Oryzias latipes: one gene and its partner. The protein of the gene in region 1 purifies or fractionates together with the protein of each later gene. This does not show direct contact. Links are inferred from orthologs where the notes say so. Each region holds a gene or a part of one and is shown on either strand. Other genes may lie near its edges. The genes, in order: asxl2 and ogt.

The links.
Region 2: the proteins of asxl2 (region 1) and ogt purify together in Homo sapiens (affinity purification with mass spectrometry; 3 studies listed by BioGRID and IntAct, with this or other methods). This does not show direct contact. The link is inferred for Oryzias latipes from reciprocal best matches to the Homo sapiens genes ASXL2 and OGT.

The regions. Positions count from the first base shown.
Region 1 is NC_019880.2:116,980-120,794, reverse strand, and holds part of asxl2 (putative Polycomb group protein ASXL2), read left to right. Parts: coding exon 1-68; intron 69-1,555; coding exon 1,556-2,129; intron 2,130-2,713; coding exon 2,714-3,815.
Region 2 is NC_019868.2:18,373,720-18,377,534, reverse strand, and holds part of ogt (UDP-N-acetylglucosamine--peptide N-acetylglucosaminyltransferase 110 kDa subunit), read right to left. Parts: intron 2,765-3,815; coding exon 2,648-2,764; intron 2,569-2,647; coding exon 2,489-2,568; intron 2,265-2,488; coding exon 2,069-2,264; intron 1,984-2,068; coding exon 1,843-1,983; intron 1,752-1,842; coding exon 1,651-1,751; intron 1,572-1,650; coding exon 1,418-1,571; intron 1,318-1,417; coding exon 1,216-1,317; intron 1,135-1,215; coding exon 937-1,134; intron 693-936; coding exon 534-692; intron 461-533; coding exon 371-460; intron 252-370; coding exon 126-251; intron 48-125; coding exon 1-47. UniProt on the Homo sapiens protein: Catalyzes the transfer of a single N-acetylglucosamine from UDP-GlcNAc to a serine or threonine residue in cytoplasmic and nuclear proteins resulting in their modification with a beta-linked N-acetylglucosamine (O-GlcNAc).

The DNA of each region.
Region 1 (3,815 bases):
GAAACTGAGAAGGAGAAGAAGGTGGAGCTGTGGAAAGAAGCCTTCTTTGAAAACTTTTACGGAGAAAAGTAGGTTTTCCTGAACAATGCCATGTCTGATGCACAGAAGGTCCATTTCAGGTCTGTTGGTCCTGAATGCACCTAGATTCAATTCAATTCAACTTTATTTGTATAGCCCAAATTCACAACAACAGTCGTCTCGATGGGCTTCGTATCGGTAATTGAAAAAGTGAAACATGAACTCAAAAGGATCATGAATACATAGAGTTCAATAGGAAAATAGTAAAATGAACTAACAAACTGACTAAGCTAAACTGGCATCTCTGCTCTTAGACCCCCCCCCCCCTTCTCTGTAGGGAAAAACTCCTAAAAAAACCTCAGGGGTGTCCACATGAAGGAGGGATCCTCCCCCAGGACGGACAGGCGATTTACCAGAACTCTTAGAGAAGAATTAACTTATCTAAATCTACAACTACATATATAAAAGTCCAGCAGACGAGCTTCATCCAGCCGTGGTTGGGGGGGGACAGTCCATGAATCACTGCAGCAAACAGAGACATGGAGAACTAAATGATGAATAATAGAATAGAGGAGAGGAAGAGTAGAAGTAGATGAGAAAAGAGGACAGAACCCCAGAGCACCATAGTTACCCCAGCTTCAACTTCTAGCAGCTACTAAAAACAAATAGTTATTAAGTTTAATTTAAACACACTAACATTAAGTTAAATAATCTCTGAATACTAGCTAGTCTGACAATAATCCAGTCCACAGAGGAATGTTTTCAGTCTAACTTTGAATGTAGAAACTGAGTCGGCCTCTCTTCCATGAGCTGGGAGTTTATTCCATAAGACAGGGGCTTGGTGGCTAAACGCTCTACCTCCAACCGTACTTTTACTAATTCTAGGAACCACAAGCAGTCCTGCATTTAGTGAGTGAAGTGTTCTGATTGGATGGTAAGGGACTATGAGGTCCTTAATATAGGACGGGGCCAGTCCATGTAAGGCCTTCTAGGTTAACAGGAGGATCTTGAACTTGATTCTAGAATCAACTGGGATCCAGTGAAGTGAAACCAACACAGGAGTGATGTGATCTCTTCTGCTGGTTCCTGCTAACAATCTAGCTGCTGCGTTCTGAACAAGCTGGAGACTTCTTAAGGAACTCTTAGGACACGCTGCTAACAAGGAGTTACAGTAATCCAGCCTCCACGTAACAAATGCATGGATGAGTTTTTCAGCATCACTCTTAGAAAGTAGATTTCTGATCTTAATCTACCAACATCTCAAGATGTTGGTTGTTTTCTTCATCAGCTGTTAAACCATTTTTGGCGTGCTTTTGAGGTGGGCGGAGCTAACTCCAGTCAAATGGTCAGTCCACTTCATGCTTCATTTTGCCCTGTGGGTGATTTAGGGGGTGCAGATGTCTGTGTGAAGGAAAGATGTTTTCAGATCTTCATTCATGAAGATGCAGAAGAAGCTTTTCGGTCCAAATCTCCCTGTCGTCTTCTTCACAGAACCAGGGTCACTTTGCAGTGATATTTTTCAAACTCTTCTCTGCAGGTTGGGGTTGAGCGTCCAGGAATCCAAAGAGCTGTCTCTGCCTAATCTGGATCAGAAGTTCCAGGAGGAAAAGCCAGAAGATTCCAGCCGGACCCAAACAGCCGACGCTGCAGCTGTGAGCTCTAACCCTCTGAAGGCCAAATGTAAGCTGATGAAGACCCGGGGCTCCGAGCACGCAGAGGAGCCCAAATGTGCAGCCCCCCCGTCTGAGCCCGGACCCCTAGACTCATCTGAAGTTTGGAAACCAGCAGAGCAAAGCTCACCTCGCAAACTTCCCATAAAAGAGCACGAGGAAGAATCAAATGACACTGAGGCCGCTCTGCAGACGGGCTCAGACCTCCAAGAGCATCTCGGGGAGGAGACGCCTGCAGCTCATGGCCAGGAGCTAACCCCCTCACCCAGCAGTCCCTCCCCATCCCTGAAGAGGAGGTCCGTTAGTGAGGCGGACGATGAGATGAGAGCAGAAAAAATGTCTCGCCTCTCCTCTGCGTCTTCAGCCTCCTCTGCGTCTCCTTCAGCATCATCCAGCCCCGCCACGCCCTCTCCGACCAACCAGAGGGTCCCTCCTCTGAAGGTAGGAGGTCTCAGAGGAGCGTCTGCAGTCGGCGTTCCCACTGAGCGCTCTTATGAACGCATGAACAGAAGAAACGTCAGGAAGCAGATATGCTGTCTCTTCTCCATAGCCCCTGCTAGACTAGATCCACATGGATTTTAATGCCATTTGGTCACATGATCCCCAATTAACACCAAATATGACATCAGCCGCCTAATAAATGTGAGCATTTATAAACCACCAGGTTATGATGATGAAGACTTAGATGGTTTATAAAAAAATACATTTGCAAAAAACAAGCCTTCAAACGCAATGCATTGTGGTCTATATTCACCAGTCTAGTGAACATCGATGTACACCAGTTTGTCACTAAGACTTCTGGGAAATATCCAGAGCACTGGATTTTTATTTGGACACCCCCACAAATGAATGAATGCGTTCGTATTGCACTAAAGGGGGAGTAGTGATGGACTCTTTTTGTTTAAAAGGAACCAAGGTTTGCAAACGCAGCAGACGGTCCAAACATGTAGTTCTACCGGAACACTTCAGGCTTTAGGACCTCACTTGCTCCAGATGTCATTTCCTCTGAACTTCCTGTCTTCCAGATTCCCGTGTCCCGGATTCTTCCTGTGTCACCCGGTCAGGGGAGCCCCCCCTTCAGCAGCCCGGGCCGTACCGGAGCGCGTACGCTGGCCGACATCAAAGCCAAAGCTCAGCTGGCACGAGCGCAGCGAGCGGCGGCGGCCGGGTTGACAAAAGGAGTCGGGCCAGGCCCCGGGCCGGGTCAGCAGCAGCCGTCCTCCGTCGCCTCCTCCCCCCAGGAGGTGTCCCAGTATTCCAGCTCACCTTCTCAGAGACCTCTGGACTCCATCTCCCCACTCAGCCCGGGCCAGCCCCCCCAGCCGGGCCAACCAAACCACAAGCATGGAGGCCGTCCTCCAGAAGGGGTTGGAGATGCTCCCCAGGAGGTCCAGGCTTCCTCCTCACATGCTGGGAAGGAGGTCCCGGGACATCGACCTCCTGTCCGGAGCAGCTCCTGCATCCCTGCAAACAATCCTCTGGTGACTCAGCTGCTGCAGGGCAAAGACGCTTCCTTAGAGCAGATCCTCCCCAAACCGCTGTCCAGAGGGGACACGCGCACCACAAACCCGCCCCCCATCTCCAGGGCGCCGCCCACTGCAGAGCTCTGGACGGAGAAGCAGGTGGCGCCCGCGGCGGGCTCCAAAGTCCTCAGGGAGCTCCCCGACAAGGAGACGCAGGCGCAGATCCTGCAGACTCTGATGCAGAGAAAAGTGCAGCTGCCCCCCCCGCAACACAAACTGTGGCAGCTGTCCCAGGACCCGCAGGCGCTGTCCAAGGTCTCCTGTGGGTTTTTGGGTCGGAAGAGGGCTCCTCGGCCCGCCATGACGGGGCATTACCTGCTGAATGTGTCCACGTACGGCCGCGGCGGCGAGTGCAGGAGGCCGCTGCACTCGCCGCCCCCCCCAAACAAGCCTGAGTGTGGTCTGCAAAGGGAGAGTAAAGACGATGCAGGGAGGGCGGTACTGGTGAAAACGGAGCAGGAAGGGGGCCCAGAACTGCCGCCTGAAAACAGGGAGCGTCTCCAGCCCCCCTCCAGTCCAAAGACTGAGCCTGGAGTGCAGGAAAATGCGGCAGGGGGGGTCGGCACCACCAAAGACAAAAGCCTTCAGCTGCAAAGACGCTCTT
Region 2 (3,815 bases), on another chromosome or scaffold:
TCCATGAACGGAGCCCCACTGGTTCCGGGGTAGCCGAGCCACATGGCCTGTTAGACAGCAGGAACCACTGTGAGAGCGTTCTTCAAAAGCAGAACACCTTCTCAACAGGCTGGAAAAGAGCTCACCTGAATGGGAGCAGGGCGAAGGGCAAACAGTTCATTTCTAGCTCCTTTGGTGTATCCGTTCATGTTGACCAGAATGTTGATTCCATCCTGGTGAATGCGATCAGCTGCTTTGCCATTACAAGGTATCTGCAGAGAAAAGAAAACAAACACTTCACAAACAACTAAAACATTTTTCATTTCAGTTACATTCATAAAAATTATTTAAGAAGAGACTGTTACGAGCCACAAAACAGCATAAAGGCTACCTGGGAGAGATCTGTGAAGTGATGGGCTTCTGCCACAACCTTTACACGGAAGTTTGTACTATCGTCAGGACTGAGCGCATAGCAGAACACCTTAGAAGAAAAACCAGGTGTTAAAATTGACAGAAATATAGTGTAGACTAGAGAAAACAAAAGGATCATTAACCTCAAACTTCTCTGGATTGTGCATTCCTGGGATGGACTGCATCAGGTGAGACGTGGGGTGGTTTCCGAAGTCGGAGCTGACATAGCCGATGCGCAGACGTCCACCACTGGCTTTCAAATCCTTGGGATGCTCGTAAGCAGGTTTGTGCAGTGCGTTAATCTATGGAAGCAGCAACGGCAAGATGTTAGAAATGCAGGAGAGAATGAGTTCCATGAGTCCTTTCCAGGCAACAAACAGACCACGAGTCAGAAACCTTCGGCTAACAAATTCCCTTAATCTGCACAGCCCTCATAAACCCACTAGCAGGATCCAGTTGATCCCTTACCTTCACCACATCCCCACAGACGGGCAGAGCCATCACCAGTAACCTCAACACCCAAAATGTAAATGAAAAGTTACTTGCTTTCATCAGTGCGTGTACCTTGTCCAGGCAAAGGTTTCCATGGCGCTCGGCAATTGCCTTGCGGAAGTTGTGGGAGAGTGGGTAGAGCATGCTGTGGTGCGGGTGCACCGAGGGCAAGCGGTTCTTGTCCAGCTGGTCAGCCACGATGCTAACCAGCTTCTTCATCCGTTCGTCATAGTCTGTCCAGTCGCAAACAATCTGGAAATGGAGGAGGTCAAAACTAAGCAGAAATCTATAATTTGGAGTTGAGGAAAAAATGAAAACAGAAGTTAAAAGTACCTGTAGGCAATGTGCCAAGTTACAGTAAGCATCAGGAAAATCTGGCTTGAGTTTCAAGGCGGTGCGATAGGATGCAATGGCCTCTGGGATGTTTCCAGAATCCTGCCGAACATAATTCAAAAATTGTATATTGAGGTAAACACATATGAACAGATTTACAACCGACTTTCCTAAAAGAAAAGGACGAGGCAGTAGAGCCCACCTTATGGATAGAGGCCAGGTTACTGTGAGCATCAGCGAAGGCTGGATTGATCTGGATGGCACGAGTGTAGCACTGCAGAGCTCCCTGGACATCTTGCATTTCCTTCAGAGTGTTTCCCATGTTGGAATAGGCATCAGCGAATGTGGGGCTGATTCTAAAATGGAACAAGAAAAGATGTTTAGACACAGGAACGTGCAAGCGGACAATCCTTTCTGCCTCAACAGTTTCTTAACCTGATTGCCTCCTTGTAGTGCATGAGAGCCTCCTGAAGTTTGCCCTGCTGCTGCAGGACACTGGCCAGGTTAGAATGAGCTGCTGCAAACTCTGGGAATACCTGACGGAAAAACACCACCATACCATTTGTTACGTTTATTTTATCTGCTCAAAAGAAAAACAATTAGAGAAGCGTGCAACGATCAATTCACCTCCAGAGCCTTTCTGTAGAGCTGGACTGCCTCCTCAATGTTGCCCTGTTCACGTTTGATGTTTGCCAAGTTGTTCAGGGAATCGGCGTGAGTGGGACACAAACGTAAGGCTGTGTTGTAGCACTCTTCTGCTTCAGACACCTAGAAAGGATCCATTATGGTGTCAAGTCATGAGAAATGTAAAAAAACAGGTAAAATTCTGTTTACAGTGAATTCTGGACATTACATTTCCTTTCTCCTTCAATGCGTTTGCCAGATTACAGTAGGCATCTGGGAAGTGGGGCTGCAGTTCAATGGCCCGCCGGTAGGTGTCGATGGCCAGGTCGATGAGTCCCTGTTCATAGTAAACGCAGGCCAGGTTCCCGTGAACCACTGCATGGTTGGGGCTTAGACTCAGAGCTCGCAGGTATCCAGCAACAGCTCTGGAGACAACATGACAAACAAGGAATGTTCACAACTTTCTAAGCTATTTTCCACAAATCATCACAGGCACAACAGTTTAAGATTTACAGCTTTTAACTAAAACCGCCTTATCGGACAGCTGTTTTTGGAGCTGCAGGATTAAAAATATCACAAACTCCATGTTAAGTTCATAAAGGTGTGGTAAACCTGAAGCAAGAGCATAAAGCTCATACTTTAAACTCACCTGTCAAAGATGCGAGCTTCTTTCAAAACATTTCCTAAATTGATATAAGCATCCAGGAAATTTGGGTCCAATGTGACTGCCTAAAAATAAGGAAATAAAAGTAACATTAAATGATAAATCTATTAAATAGTGTGTATAGATATGAACAATTCTTCTTACCTTTTCAAAGTGGTGTATAGCGAGCCATATTTCCCCCTGGGCATTGAACACACAACCGAGGTTGCTCCAAGCGACAGCAAAGTTGGGCTGAGTCTCAATGGCTTTCAGGTAACAAGCCTTCAGTAGGTTTACATTGAAAACCACAGAAAACGGGGAAAAAAGAAAAGGAGAGGTGGAGTAGACAGGGGAGGGGTTGAATGAAAAGAAAAACAAAAACAAAAAAGGGCAGAAATAGCAAAATTAGTAACTACTCTCCATGATAGCAAAAAGTGAGTCTACAGCATGGGCTCGCTGGCGCAGAAGTCTGCCGCGCAAAGCTGCATAGCTTTTTCCTACGCTGCGCGGATCCAACCAGCACCCACACTCACGTTCTCATCCTGAAGTTATGACCACCTTTTATCAAACACAGTGGCTCTTATTTCCTCAAATTCCATCTATTGTCCTTCCATTAAAACACTGAAAACACTGAAAATAAGCAGAGGCTGGTAGATCAGTGCTGACATTCACAACCTTGGATGTGGAACAGTGAGTGCAGGTGATAGTCCCTGTAATGCGGGCGCAGTCAACGCAGGCGCGCTGGGTGGGTTTGCCGCCAACACCACAATGCACCATGTATCGCTGTTCGCATGACCTTGCTCCTGGCAAAGTTCTTACTTCGCTTGTGCGCTCGCTGAATGGCCGGATGACAACGGCAGCAGACCAACAACCCCTGGCAGATAATCTGCAGCACCAGACTAGCACACACTCTGCAGCCATGAGCTTGGAAGGATAAACAAGACAGTTGGGGGGCATTGCCAGAAGAGGCAACATAGTTTACTGTGGAGAGATTTTTGTGTGTGTCCTTAATCATAAAAACAGAAAGCCAATAGATGGTGAATGAATCAAAAACTGCTCAACGCATTTGTCATAACAAATCCTGTCTTGAGCGTTTTGGTGCATTTGGGAGCGAGGCTGGTTTTTGGGTGGGGTGAGGTCCGCAACCAAACAGGCCAAGGGGGATGAGGGGGGAGGGCGTTGGGGGTTGCACGCGTGCGCTTTCCGCCATTTAGGTTGCTTGAAGGGTATCGCTGCGCAGCCCCTGCGCTACTGCAGACTCACAGCGCATTTACTGCATCATCAGAACGCTGCAACTCCAAATAAAGAAAGGGAGAAAACAAAACAAATAGGA